2 linked regions of the Mytilus edulis genome follow. The main gene of each other region encodes a partner of the protein of the gene in region 2 in a complex. Links are inferred from orthologs where the notes say so. Each region holds a gene or a part of one and is shown on either strand. Other genes may lie near its edges. The genes, in order: 2-oxoisovalerate dehydrogenase subunit beta, mitochondrial-like; 2-oxoisovalerate dehydrogenase subunit alpha, mitochondrial-like.

Evidence for each region.
Region 1: the proteins of 2-oxoisovalerate dehydrogenase subunit alpha, mitochondrial-like (region 2) and 2-oxoisovalerate dehydrogenase subunit beta, mitochondrial-like are in contact, whole or in part, in a crystal structure (PDB 1V16), measured with the Homo sapiens proteins. The link is inferred for Mytilus edulis from reciprocal best matches to the Homo sapiens genes BCKDHA and BCKDHB. Residues at the interface, in NP_000700.1 of Homo sapiens: Phe155, Leu185, Gly186, Lys187, Arg189, Gln190, Gly196, Cys197, Lys198, Phe202, Val203, Thr204, Ser206, Pro208, Thr211, Pro214, Gln215, Val217, Gly218, Ala219, Tyr221, Ala222, Arg225, Gly244, Asp245, Ala248, Asn251, Phe252, Thr255, Leu256; in NP_000047.1 of Homo sapiens: Pro89, Thr90, Val92, Asp117, Arg118, Phe120, Asn121, Thr122, Pro123, Cys125, Gln127, Gly128, Ile129, Gly131, Phe132, Ile134, Gly135, Ile136, Val138, Thr139, Asp158, Gln159, Asn162, Glu163, Ala165, Tyr167, Arg168, Tyr169, Arg170, Ser171.

Annotation. Positions count from the first base shown.
Region 1 is NC_092353.1:73,441,056-73,448,175, forward strand, and holds the start of 2-oxoisovalerate dehydrogenase subunit beta, mitochondrial-like, read right to left. Parts: upstream 3,011-7,120; 5' UTR 2,962-3,010; coding exon 2,835-2,961; intron 1,640-2,834; coding exon 1,562-1,639; intron 272-1,561; coding exon 203-271; intron 1-202. Other genes in the region: arginyl-tRNA--protein transferase 1-like, read left to right, coding at 3,197-3,296. UniProt on the Homo sapiens protein: Together with BCKDHA forms the heterotetrameric E1 subunit of the mitochondrial branched-chain alpha-ketoacid dehydrogenase (BCKD) complex.
Region 2 is NC_092346.1:74,984,586-74,991,926, reverse strand, and holds the start of 2-oxoisovalerate dehydrogenase subunit alpha, mitochondrial-like, read left to right. Parts: upstream 1-4,057; 5' UTR 4,058-4,146; coding exon 4,147-4,242; intron 4,243-6,979; exon of another isoform or gene 6,980-7,035; coding exon of another isoform or gene 7,036-7,056; intron 7,057-7,341. UniProt on the Homo sapiens protein: Together with BCKDHB forms the heterotetrameric E1 subunit of the mitochondrial branched-chain alpha-ketoacid dehydrogenase (BCKD) complex.

The sequences.
Region 1 (7,120 bases), on a different chromosome or scaffold from region 2:
AGGTTTTTTTCTACTTGTGTTGTTGGGTTGATGTCTGAAAAATGCTCTGGATTCTTGAGGTCACTTTAAATTAGGATTTATTGATTTTAGTATTTAATTTAGTTAATATAAAATCATATTGGTAAATTTCTTGATTGTAGAATAAATTTCATCTTATTTTTGTACAGTAAATGTTTTTTTTCGCCTAAAAATATAAACTTGCCATATCTATCTTTTAATTCTACACTACATCTAAATACGCCACCGAATGCTACATCTTCTCCAAACAACACTGAAAAAAATAGATTTAAATCAAATATCAAATTAATATCAGAAGCAATGTTCACATTAAGAATTTTTGAAGGCAAGTACAATCTGTCCAGGGACTCATCATTTTTTGTCAACACCAGTTCATCAGTAAAATGAAATTTTATTACTGTACTACATAATTTATTACTTCAGTCTCTATGACCAAAAAAAAAAAAAAAAATGCAAGGAAATAATATAAAATTTAGAATATTTTAAAACTTTTGATATAAAATAATGAGATATTGATGCAGCATCTTTGCCATTCTTTGGACTCACTTATTTTAAAAAGATTAGTCTGGACAGGTTTTCACGAGTCCAGGACTTATGATCTACTCACCTTGTTGAGAACCCTGAGAAGAATAAAATCTTTCTCCAACAAAATGTGTCAATAGAAATTCTAATGCAACACCGTTTGTAATGTTCATTTTGATTGGATAACGTCACTTATTTACATGGCATCAATTGACAATTGATGTTATGGGACGCATGTGCAAACGCAGACGGCATTTGACATATTTTAAATACATGTTTTAACGTTGTTTTCTGTCAGTTTCATTAGAATGGAGATAACAATATTGTATTTTAAGCTCCGACGGAATCAATTGGGGATTTGATGGTCGCAAATATCTGTTTACTGTCTCTGCTAACGTGTTGCCAGTAAACTTTATTTGCGACCATGAAATCCCCAATTGATGCAGTCTGAGCTTAGAAAACAATACAGTTATCTCTTGAATATCAACCTTAGACACCAATATAATTCCAAGAACTCTGCTTTTTGCAACAATGACATCATGAAAATTAAAGGTATGATTAAGCCTTTGTAACTGGGATTGATATCAATATCATCACGGTTAGCTGATACAGCATGATTGCCATTGACCATATTACACACATTTTATCTATATTTATACAATGCATAATTTCCCCTTGTTTTGTTAATAGAAGAGAATCTATAAATATCAATATCATTTTGTTAGTTCAGTATTAAATCAGGAAGTTAAACATGTTAAAGTTTTGTTTACTAGACAACTAGTGGAACATTCCTTTCTAACAGATTCATAAATGATGTGGTGAATGCAGATGTTTCTTCTTATGTCATTATTTAATACATGCATTAACATTTAATTTTTTTTAACCAAAGGTTCTTTTTGTTTATATAATATTGTATACAGTACATGTATAGTTACACTTTTCTTTGCTTTCAAATTTTTAGATCTGAGCAATCAAGATGAGTTTTATTCAAGAATAAAGACAGAAGAGTTATCTCCCTTACCTGCTGATGGATCTGTAGATAATGCAATATCTAAAGCATTATTTACAGCTTGTACTAAATTCATACGAGTTGTCTCCCCTGAAAAGAGAAAGAAAAGGATTAAAAGATACAGCATTATAATAGATGAATAGACATTAACATAATGTTTCCAAAACAAATAATTAAAAGTAACCAATAATATTAAATGAATTGCAAATTTTGATCCTTCCAGCATGTGTCCTACAGCTGACAGATTGTGACATCAGAAATATTCTCTTGTTGACCTAAAAAAAAACCAGTAGACCAGATAATAGTGGCGAAGGCTAGGAGGAGATAATTCAAACCATAAAGCTTCTCACGCTAGCAAATTTAAATCTGAAATAGATACTTAGTATTTCAAGTGTCAAGTGATTTAAACACTGTAAGTGTAGAATACATATGTACTAGTGCAATGTCTACATGTAAGTAAGTAAGTAAATTATTTATTATAGTGGCATGTGTTTTTCACAAAATATTATATAATACACATGATACAGTGAGATATAAAAACAATAATTAGAACACCTGACCCTTTGGGTCTACAAGTCACTTTCGCCATAAATTTCAATGGTAAAACAACAAATATAAATGTTATCGAAAATTTTCATATAAGAATTTTTTTCTCTTACTGAAAGCTTGCAATAGATATTTAGCAGTATTTCTCGGATGTTGACATATATTTAAACTGTTCTTCATTTGATAGTATAAATATATTATATTGACAAATGTCATTTAATAGATGAAGCACTGGTTATGGGGTAGCCGGTCATGTAACATGTGACGTGTAAGAAGTACAGTTCACTTGGCTGCCTTTAATACATTCGACTGTGTACTGTATGACTGTGCAATTTTGATCCTAAATTAAAGTGTACATGTGGATGTTCCTCTTAACAATGAGCATGATGAGGAGGTTGTGATGTCTTATGGTCATTGTTGTCCATGCTTTCAGTTTGGATATTATTTGGAAAGTTGGATCTGTTTCATGCAATGGAGTGTGAAATAGTGAGCATTTCTTTGCATCAAAACCTCTCAATCCATGTATTGACAACAAATTTATCCACTTTTCTGTCAATGCAGGTATTAACCTTTAATCATCCTTGGTGCCATAAACAGAATCCATATCAAGTATTTTTAAAGTAATCTTTAAAGGGTATCTTTTATTGTTATATTTTCAAGATGTCATAATTATTTTTGATATATATTTTAGCAGGTGCCCTTTCCAAGTTCATTGCTACTGAGTAAGCAAATGAGTTACCGTGAGCAGCAGAGATTGTGTCAGGAACATATTGTACTGACGCACATCTGTGGACAGACAGAAAAGTCTGTAAATTCTTTTTTAAAAACCTTGCATTCTGCAAACACCGCAGAAACTTCCAGGACATAGTGTTGTTTCTGAAGCTAAATACACAGGAAGTGGATTTAAGGGCGATAACTCTAATATTTATTCAGAAATTTCCCCTTTCTGGGGTTTCCCACTTAAGGATTAGATTTCATAGTTACTTTTTGTTCATTATTTTGTCAAACCTTCTTTTTGGAATCTATGAAATATTTTTTTAGCGTTTTTCCTTTAATAATTTGTCAAAGTGAAAGTAGCTTTCTGCACTGAATATCCTTATCATGGCGTCCAAGGATTCATACGGAATCGTTGAGTGGTATGGAAATGGAAACGGACACCGCTGTGGTTATTGTAAAAGTCCAAATGGCAACATTTCAGATGGTAATTTTTAATGAATAATTCTCCATAATTATAGATAGTAATTGTCATGATCAACATTAATGAAAACAACAAATATGAGAGTTGTTGGCATGTTGCCATGACAAATGAAGCATCAAATCCCTATAAAGTGTCTATCATGCTCAATATATTTATTTTGATAATCTGCAAAGAATCACAAAAATACTCTTCAGAAACTTTCAAAATTGTGTATGATTTGGGCAAACGAATAAAGATCTATATACATGTAGATCTGTCTTCACATTTGTTTTAGGGTTTCCCCTCTCCACCCTGGTATCAGGTCCGTTCGCGCCCAATATACTTTCGCACCCTACACGTTCGCACCTCGCACGTTCGCACCCCGCACGTTTGCACCCAAGGTCCGTTCGCACTCTACACGTTCGCGCCCAATTTTAATTCAAATACCAGTTGAATAATTGGAAAATCATGATTGTTGTTTTTAATTGCTTTCGTGTAAATACTGAATGTATTTATAGCTTGGTATGAGTAAAAGATTGAATATGTTAGATCATTTTAAATGAAAAACACAAAAGATAATTGTTTTTAACAGCTTGGTCCCTTTGATCTGAAACAATGAAACAATAAAATATAGCAATACACTATTATAACCAAAACATGATAAAATTTATTCAACACACAAAAAAAACGTAGTCAGAATCTCACTTCATTTTGAAACAAGTCAATGAAACAAAGTTATAGCAATTAATACACTAACCAAAAAATGATTACGAGTTATTCAACACAAAATAAATCGTTGACAGAATCCCACTTTATTTAGAAAGGAATCTTTTTTTTTTTTAACAATACACTATCCAAAACATGATTAAGATTTATTCAACACCAAAAAAAAAATGCTGTCTCACTTTATTTTGAGACAACGAAAACAATTATACTTATAAGAATACTATACTTGCCAAAACATGATTACAAAGTTATTAAACTCAAAACCAATTAAAGTTGGGCGCGAACATGTAGGGTGCGAATGGACTTTGGGTGCGAACATGTAGGGTGCGAAAGTGAAAGGGGGCGAACATGAGTGGGTGCGAACGTGAATGGGCGCGAACGGACCCGCAATTTTACACAGGATTACTTAAAAATCCTTTTGATTTACTTCACTTGTCTTGAAATTTCCCTTGCATTGCTGCAGTCTTTTTTTTATTTTGAATGACATCATTTTGTCTTCAAACATGAGATTTATTCTAGAAAAAGATAATAATCATGATAATCTTCAATCATCATGGTCATTGATTTTTCAAAAATATGATATATATTTCACAAAATGGTTCAAGGAGGATTATTATGACCGTGCAAGGACTTTATATAGCCAGTCAAGGTGGTTAAAAAACCCAATACTTATTCAAATACAACATCTATAGACATAAATTTATATATATCAATGTAAAATGGCTGAATAAATAGTCAGGCCACACTTAAAAATATTTTGGTTTGCCCAAACTCTAACCAAAAATTAAGTCAATGGGTAGGTAGATAGGCATTTTCTTTTTTTTTTTTCAAAAAAAGAAATTGAAGTATCAGATGTTTATTAGTCTTCATGTCTATTTGATTAAAAAAAACTTCTTCAAATCAGGACAGTAAAAGAATTTGAGTAGGCAGCTTTTTTCTGGGAAGTTAGCGTTTGGGCAAACAAACCTATTATTTATTATGGCCCCAACGATTAATCTTACAGGGCGATGGATTATTTGGCATATCTTTGTAATCTTTGAGCCGGTGTTATATAGCCATTCTTCCCCCATGCCAGTTTTTCCCCCGGGGGTTGGAGAGGGGGAACATATCTCCCCAAAGGTTTGATTAAGTTTCACCCTTATAGGACTTCTTCTGAATGAAAGCTTTAAGGCGATGAGTATTTTTCTCAATCCATGCCTTTGATGGGTACTTTTACCTTGTGGTACAAAAATTATTTATCATGTAAAGTCAAAATCGTGGTTTAAGTAGTTGTATTCATTAGGTCAATGATACCAAGGGTTCACGAATGAGAATGGATGTGATCACTGCATCAGAATGTGCTTCGTTTGTATAAATATAACTTGTATGTATACATGGTATATATAAATACTTATCAATTTATATTAATACGGTGAAGCATTGGTACCGCTAAACTAATCAAAAAGTTAATATTCTTTTTTTAGGATAATAATTTCTAGCCGACTTTATAAATTTATAAAGGGGGAAAAACTAGCTCATCATGCCGCAAAGGGGAAAAATTGGCCTGATCCTCGTTTTCCCCCTATAACGTTGAGGGGGAAAAGTTGGATCATGCCAATTTTTCCGGGGGGAAATATTGGATCGATCCAGTTTTTCCCCCCGGAAAAATTGGCATGGGGGAAGAATGGCTATAGGACACCGGGTTCAGTGGTTGTTGTTGGTTCATGTCGTTTGTGTATGTTTTTTTTTGTAAATTATTTTGTAATCAATAATCCTGTTAGTTTTGTTTGTTTTGTTCCCTAATTTGTATGGTCGGAGCATTTTATAGCCGACTATATATGTTTTTTTCCCTCACTTTTGGAGGCCGTACAGTGGCCTTTTATTACTTACTACCAGGTCTGTGTAACTCCGGTGGATATTTGTATCATAAGTGCTATATCGTGGTCGACCCTATATATACACCTTTAGGGCAGGTGGAATATTTTTGTAGATCTTGTACAGCGAGTCACAATAATGGAGGTAATTCCTGTACTTCCACGTTTCCACTGCACGTCTCCCATGCTGGTTGGAGAGGGGGAACATATCTCCCCAAAGGTTTGATTAAGTTTCACCCTTATAGGACTTCTTCTTCTGAATGAAAGCTTTAAGGCGATGAGTATTTTTCTCAATCCATGCCTTTGATGGGTACTTTTACCTAGTGGTACAAAAATTATTTATCATGTAAAGTCAAAATCGTGGTTTAAGTAGTTGTATTCATTAGGTCAATGATACCAAGGGTTCACGAATGAGAATGGATGTGATCACTGCATCAGAATGTGCTTCGTTTGTATAAATATAACTTGTATGTATACATGGTATATATAAATACTTATCAATTTATATTAATAAGGTGAAGCTTTGGTACCGCTAAACTAATCAAAAAGTTAATATTCTTTTTTTAGGATAAAAATTTCTAGCCGACTTTATAAATTTATAAAGGGGGAAAAACTAGCTCATCATGCCGCAAAGGGGAAAAATTGGCCTGATCCTCGTTTTCCCCCTATAACGTTGAGGGGGAAAAGTTGGATCATGCCAATTTTTCCGGGGGGAAATATTGGATCGATCCAGTTTTTCCCCCCGGAAAAATTGGCATGGGGGAAGAATGGCTATAGGACACCGGGTTCAGTGGTTGTTGTTGGTTCATGTCGTTTGTGTATGTTTTTTTTTGTAAATTATTTTGTAATCAATAATCCTGTTAGTTTTGTTTGTTTTGTTCCCTAATTTGTATGGTCGGAGCATTTTATAGCCGACTATATATGTTTTTTTCCCTCACTTTTGGAGGCCGTACAGTGGCCTTTTATTACTTACTACCAGGTCTGTGTAACTCCGGTGGATATTTGTATCATAAGTGCTATATCGTGGTCGACCCTATATATACACCTTTAGGGCAGGTGGAATATTTTTGTAGATCTTGTACAGCGAGTCACAATAATGGAGGTAATTCCTGTACTTCCACGTTTCCACTGCACGTCTCCCATGCTGGTTGGAGAGGGGGAACATATCTCCCCTAGGTTTGATTAAGTTTCACCCTTATCGGACTTCTTCTTCTGAATGAAAGCTTTAAGGCGATGAGTATTTTTCTCAATCCATGCCTTTGATGGGTA
Region 2 (7,341 bases):
CCAAGTAACAATTTATAAAAGTAAACCATGTTTTTTACAAGAGAGATAGCTTGAGATTTCTCTGGGTAGCCTGCATTTTGTTTGAAGAAAACCACAATATTAAATTATTGCCGTCTTCCTCAAGAACATAAATGACATCTTGTACGGAATTTCCCGACTGACTTTGACAAAGTATTGGCCTCAGAATAATCATATAAAGAACAATTCTTAATAAAAATTTACTATTTAATATTAACTTCAGGAAAAAAATGTACGGTGACACCATCTTTGTTTTGAAATTCTGAAATAATTTTCTAAAATCTATCTTCTCGTATTATATTCTGCAATTCTTTCATTTAGTTTATCTTCTAGTCACAAACTGATGGTTGTTCCTGTATAATCCGCACACAATCATGTTGTCATTTATTCACAATCTGTAGCTTGAGAAAAAACTCGGTGACCTATCATTTGGATTATATTTTTGAATCACAATATATACTTCGCCTTGGCAAAGTATGAACACATTCTATCATCTTTAATTCATTATCCCATACCACCTTAAATATGTCATGCATACCACTTAAAATTTTGATTTTCTTTCACCCACTGATTTTTTGTTGTTGTGAAATTACCATACAACATATCAAGTGAGTTTTTTTTTAAAGACCATACTATTTTAGTTTCATTTGTAGTCAGTCATAAGGGAGGCAGTCAAAAGCTTTTCACAATCCACCAGGATAGCTGCAAGGTATTTATTTTGGTATAGGGCTAATTTCCATTCTTCAATCACTCTTAATAAAATTGACCGACATCAAATGCTTGATATAAAAGCTGCAAAAAATAGATTGAAAATATTATCAAAGTACTGTCGTACTTATTGTACTTCAGTGACATAAAAAAAAAAAGAGTAGAAATGGCCGGTAACACATAAGTTTTACCGGTCTATAAAAACCTTTTTCTACCGTATTTTTTTGTGAATAGGTACAACTTGAGCTTCCTTATTATGACCAGGGACTGTTTAAAAGGATGGTCGAAAAATACCAAAGGGACAGTCAAACTCATAGATCGAAAACAAACTGACAACGGCATGAATAAAAAAGAAAAAGACAAACAGACAAGACACAACATAGAAAAATAAAGCCTAAGCAACATGAACCCCACCAAAAACCTGGTAGTGATCTCAGGTACTACGGAAGGGTAGGCAGATACAAGCAGATCATGCAGTCCAAATGTGACACCTGTCGCGTTGCACATGTTATTACAAATCCGGTAAATAGTCTAATTCGGTTAGTCACATTCGTGAAAAGGGAAGGAGATTGTACGGGTATATTCCATAAAATATATTTTTGAAGTTTCATTCTTTACCGTTTCAATTTTTGATAAGTTCTTAACGTATTTTCGATGATTTAACTATTTGTCATCATTTCAAAGACCATTTTTCTATGATCATGCTTTTTATGGAAAAAGTAATTTGCCGTTTTCCAAGACATGTGAATAATTAAATTTGACAGTAAATTAATTTTTCGAAGCAAATCCTTGCAGGTTACTTCATATTAGATATATTGTCTTGTAAGACTCTGGCTTTGACTTTAAAATATGCCGAGTCAGAATCCTATGATGAGATGATTTTAGAGACTGAATACAAACGAGAAGCATACATAATCAGCGAATATAGCTACTCTACTCAGAATCATCGAAGACTGGAAAACGGCACTTGATCAAAATAAGTTTATTGGCTCAATTCTAATGGATCTATCTAAGGCTTTCGATTGTCTCCCTCACGATCTTCTACTGCTTAAGCTTGAGGCATATGGTCTTTCGACTTCCTCATTAAAACTCATTAAAAATTACTTATCTAACAGGAAACAATGTGTTCGAGTTGGCTCTAGTCTGAGCAATTGGCAAAACATATATAAAGGAGTACCACAAGGTTCTATTCTAGGTCCTATACTGTTTAACATCTTCATTAATGACATATTTCACTTCACCACAAACAGTTCATTTTACAATTATGCTGATGACAACACATTATCTTATGCAAATAGAGATATAAACACCGTTATCTCCATACTTGAAAAAGACAGTTTGGCTCTGATAGAATGGTTTTCTTCCAATCAAATGAAGGCAAACCCTGAAAAATTTCAAGCTTTGGCAATTGGCAAAACAACAATGGGCAAAAACATTACATTTGATCTAGCAGGTAACAAAATAAAATGTGAAAAAGAGGTCAAACTATTAGGCATCACCATTGACTTTGAACTAAATTTCAACACGCATATATCAAACATCTGCAAAAAAGCATCCAGACAACTAAATGTTTTAAAAAGACTTGGCAAATACTTAAACAAACTTGGAAAACTAACAATATATCACTCCTTTATTATGTCAAACTTTAATTTCTGCTCATTGTCCTGGCATTTCTGCAGCGAGGCCAACACTACAAAAATTGAAAAAGTACAAGAAAGAGCACTTCGCTTCATTTACCAGGATCACAATAGCACATATGAAGACTTACTTTTAAAATCAAAAATGCCATCACTTAAAGTAAGACGCCTAAGAACCATGGCAATAGAGGTCTTTAGAACAGTCAATCATGAAAACCCAATGTACCTCCATGATCTTATAAAGATTAAAAAAACAAAATATTCTTTCAGATACCAAAATTTAGCTGAAATACCTGACGTAAGAACAACAAGGTATGGCTTGAAATCTTTCAGATATTCTGCTGCCAAACTATGGAATGAGTTGCCAAACCACTTTAGAACTGAAACATCTTTTACCCAATTCAAGAGTCTAATAAACTCATGGAATGGCAACTCATGCCATTGCAATGCATGTGCTTAGTTTTATTTATTTTATGTTACAGCTTGAAAATAATAGTGCTGCTTTTTGTGAATGTTTGCTTAGCTTTTTATAATTTATGAATGCTGTGCTTTATTTTTTATGTTTGCTTTTAGTGCTTATTCTTATGCATGTATAGAATATAGTATTTAAATAGTGTAGCCTAAATGTGCATGAAATGTATGTTCTATGTCTTTTATGTTTTAATATTTGTATTGTGTATGTTTGTTATGTAAATGTATGCATTTGTCGGTTATAAAAGCTCAGAGAGCTTATGTTTATTTGTTATGTAACATGCCGACTATAAATAAAGCTTTGAATATTAAGTGCCTTACAGTGATCTACATTAGTTTCATAATATGTATAACGTGACGGTACCCAAATTGCACCTATTTTGACAGTTTTTTCACCTACGTTTTTTTATGATAAAGACAAAAATTTCCATTCTGTGTTTATTTTGTAACCGTATCCTTCTTTATTATAGAAGTACATCAATTTCATTTTTAATCCATATGGAATCAAAGAAAAATTGGTCTAAACTGACCTCCAAACCATCAATGATTCTGAAATGAGGAGTACCCAAATTGCATCCATGCTTAAATTCGCACTGTCAAAATTCTAATAACAGAGCTTTTGTTTAATTTCTTCAAATATTTTGAACAATTGGATATTAGTCCATGCTTACTCTTTATTTTTTTTTCAAATGGATACTTGTAACATATTGTATTTGATCATTTTAAAAAGATGACGTTTTGATGACGTCGCATGGCGACGTTTCAGTACAAATTTTTAGTTTTTTAGTAAACACTTCACCTGTTGATAAATACTGTGAACGTTTTGTGCATATCTAAATAGTTTTACCTATGTTGAAAGATGTGCATAGTATCAGATCATAAAAATACAAATTGTTTACGGTCTCTAGGAAATCTTGTTAGATTATTTTTACTATTTTGGCTTAATAGGTGCAATTTGGGTACTCGGTGCAATTTGGGTACCGTTACGTTAAAACTTTTATATTGATTTTGGAACATTCAAATACGATAAGATAAGATAAGGTACGAAATAAAATTCAAATTCAAATTTAAAATATCTATTGAGATTGATTAATTGTATTATATGTCTCTGATTTGCATAAGGTCGGAGTGACGTCCATTCTATATATTCAACACAGATCATATTTCAATGATTAAGATTTTTAAAATAACAGATTACGCCGTTTGTCTGAAACTAGTAATCCCTTTTCGACGTTCTCTAGAGTTTTCCATTAAACAATTGTTTACTATGTAGTTGCTTTGAAGGACAAAATATTTTATAGAAGAAAACGAAATGGCTTTGCTTAGACGTCTTCTGTCTCCCAGAATAACACAGATAATAGGCTTTCAAGCTAAGCAACTGTCAACGTCTTCCAAATGCCAAAATGTGGTTCGTGTTACTTTGTTTTTTATTGGGTTCTTTTTGTATAATTTTGTATTTTTGTATTTTTTTTTTTGTATTTTTTTTTTATATATTGACATTTCTCCGCACAAACTACTAAGATCTACTAATGCCTCATGTTTGTCTTCTCAAAGTGAAGATACACTTACCGGGTGCACTTGAGTCATTTTCAACATAGTATTCATTGAATAATAATACATTGCTACTATTTTGTTGAGTGTATTTTCTGAGTTATATTATTTTATTTTATTATTTTTATAACACTTGTTACATATCTTTACTGTGTGTGTATTGCATATGTTATTGTTTATAAAAATATTGTCTGTATCATATGCCCTCCTGGGGCCCTAATTTGGTAAATAAAAATATTCTATTCTATTCTATTCTGTACATTAGTCGTCATGCAGTGCATTTACACAGGAATCCGGGTCCGTTCGCCCAAATTCACTTTTACGATCGCACCCTGTGAAAGTGTGAATAATTAATAGTGTCATGTTGATAGTTCGCATACCTGCCAACTGACATTATTTGTGGGGTATTTCCCCCATGGAGGCTCCAAAATGGAAATTTTGAAAGAGCAATTTTGTCCACAATTTTTAGGTACGGAAAGTGATTTTTTTAAAATCAACTGATCTAAGAAAACTTAACCTCATTTTAAAGGCATTGTGAAGACATTTTCAAAACACTTTTATCAATACACATAATAACAACGGAGAAATAGCAAATTTTCAAAATGGAAATTTTTTACTATTCTGGAAAAACTGTTTCCTCTCTTTAAAAAATAATAAAATATATTTTTTTTTAATCATTTGGGTTATAGTTTTGTTTATATTGCTTCTTTTACATCTTGTTAGTCAATTTTAATCCTCCATATTAAGTTTTTTGGTTAAAATAAAAGCATAAAGCATGAAAATGTCAACCACTCTCATGAAATTCTATCGTTCAAAGTCACATAACATGACGATAACTTTATATATTCCTTTTTTCAGAGCATCAGTTGGTATATTGAAAATGTAAAGTAAAACTTATAAACATTTGAATGTAAAGAAACAAAATATAAATATGAATATTACTCTTTATATATACAAATGTATATGTTTAATTGTGTGTGTGTATAAAAAAGAAGATGTGGTATGATTGCCAATGAGACAACTCTCCACAAGAGACCAAATGACACAGAAATTAATAACTATAGGTCACCGTACGGCCTTCAACAATGAGCAAAGCCCATACTGCAAAGTCAGCTATAAAAGGCTCCGAAATGACAAATGTAAAACAATTCAAACGAGAAAACTAACGGCTTAATTAATGTCCAAAAAATGAACGAAAAACAAATATTTAACACATCAACAAACGACAACCACTGAATTACAGGCTCCTGACTTTGGACAGGCACATACATACAGAATGTGGTGGGGTTCAACATGTTAGCGCATGCCCAATCCTTCCCCTGACCTGTCACAGTACAACATAAGAACGAACTATAAAAATCAGTTGTACCATGAGAGACAAGAATTGTTTTGAAATATGTCATGATTGTCATCTGTCTTTGTATAGTCATGATAGTTTTAGAATGTTCCCTTTTCATTAACATTCAATTTAATGAAATATTCTTATTCTTATATATAGCATGTATAGTAAATGCTTATGAATAAAAATAAACAACAAGCTTTTAACAATTATTCTACAGGACTAAAATACCTGTTGCACTGAAAAACAATGAAAATAATATAACATTATTTTTTATTCGAGAAATTTCAAACAAAATAATTATGTCAGATCACTGTAAATACTTGTACATGTATGTATAAAAGTAAAGTAAATTCATATCTGTATATCAGTTACAATATTAATACAGTGAAATCTGTAAACCAATCTCATTCAGGACTGAAGTTCAAAATGCATTGAATGTGAATAGCATTCGAAGTGAACTGCCACTACTGCATGGATTCCTATGTATGTTTTTAGTTGAACATGTTGAAAATACATATATTGATTGTTTTAAACCACATTATTCAGTATCCTTACTATCTCATGTGCAATGACAAGTGGTTGAACTATCTTTAAATTGCAATAAACTGGCTGTATAATGCAAAAAAAAACAACCTATCACCGCTGATTTCCAATCAAAACTAAACCAAAAGTTGTCCATGCAAGGGAAATAACTCTGTATACACAAAAAGGAGGCTTATTTATAAAAAATAATTTTGATATGAACACAGCTATCTAGATATATTTATTGGACCCAATTATTTAATTGATATATTAAACTTAATAAAAAAATACATTTTATGGCTGTATAAAGTTCCCTTGTATTTTTTTTAAACGAATGTAACTTTCAAACCCTTGTTTGTACCTCAAATATTTCATGTATTCCCGAAAATTATAATATACTAAATCATGTATATTCATATAATATCTATCAAAAGCAATCAGAACCTTCTGAGACTTAACAAGTTAATAGAAGGCTGTAATCGGAGGTCGCCCAAAGATTTTATATTTACACACATCTGGGAACAATTATTTAGGGTAATTTGGAGTTATCTCCCATTGGTTTGCCATACCTACAATTTTAAACAAAACAATAAAATGAACAATACACCTAATCGCTATTTATTCCATTCCGGATAAGTTTTAAAATTAAAAAGTTTAAAAATTTAAAATCCCGGTCGCTTGACCTTTTCAGGCATACAATATACATGTAATCACTTTTCCATTGTGACGTCAGATATTTTGTTTTATGACGTCAAAATTTTACAGGAACCTGTGTGATATCTTCTAATGGCGGACAAATCAGATAAGGTGTATGGCTATAAGTTTGTAAAAGTATAAACAACCAATAAACAGCATTTAAATATATTTGAAGGCCCCCTTAAAGGTTTTGAAAAACTATGAGAGAAATCTTGCACGTTAAACCCTCATGGGATTTTTGAAAAGTTGGTAGGTATGAGTTCGTCTCAAAGACTTGTAAACGAAATGCAGAAGATTCCAATTGACTATCAAACTCACAAAACACTCAGCTGTAGAAAATATTCATCTTTCATTTTTTTTTTCATTTTAATAAAATCTTCAGTTCATATTTGTTTT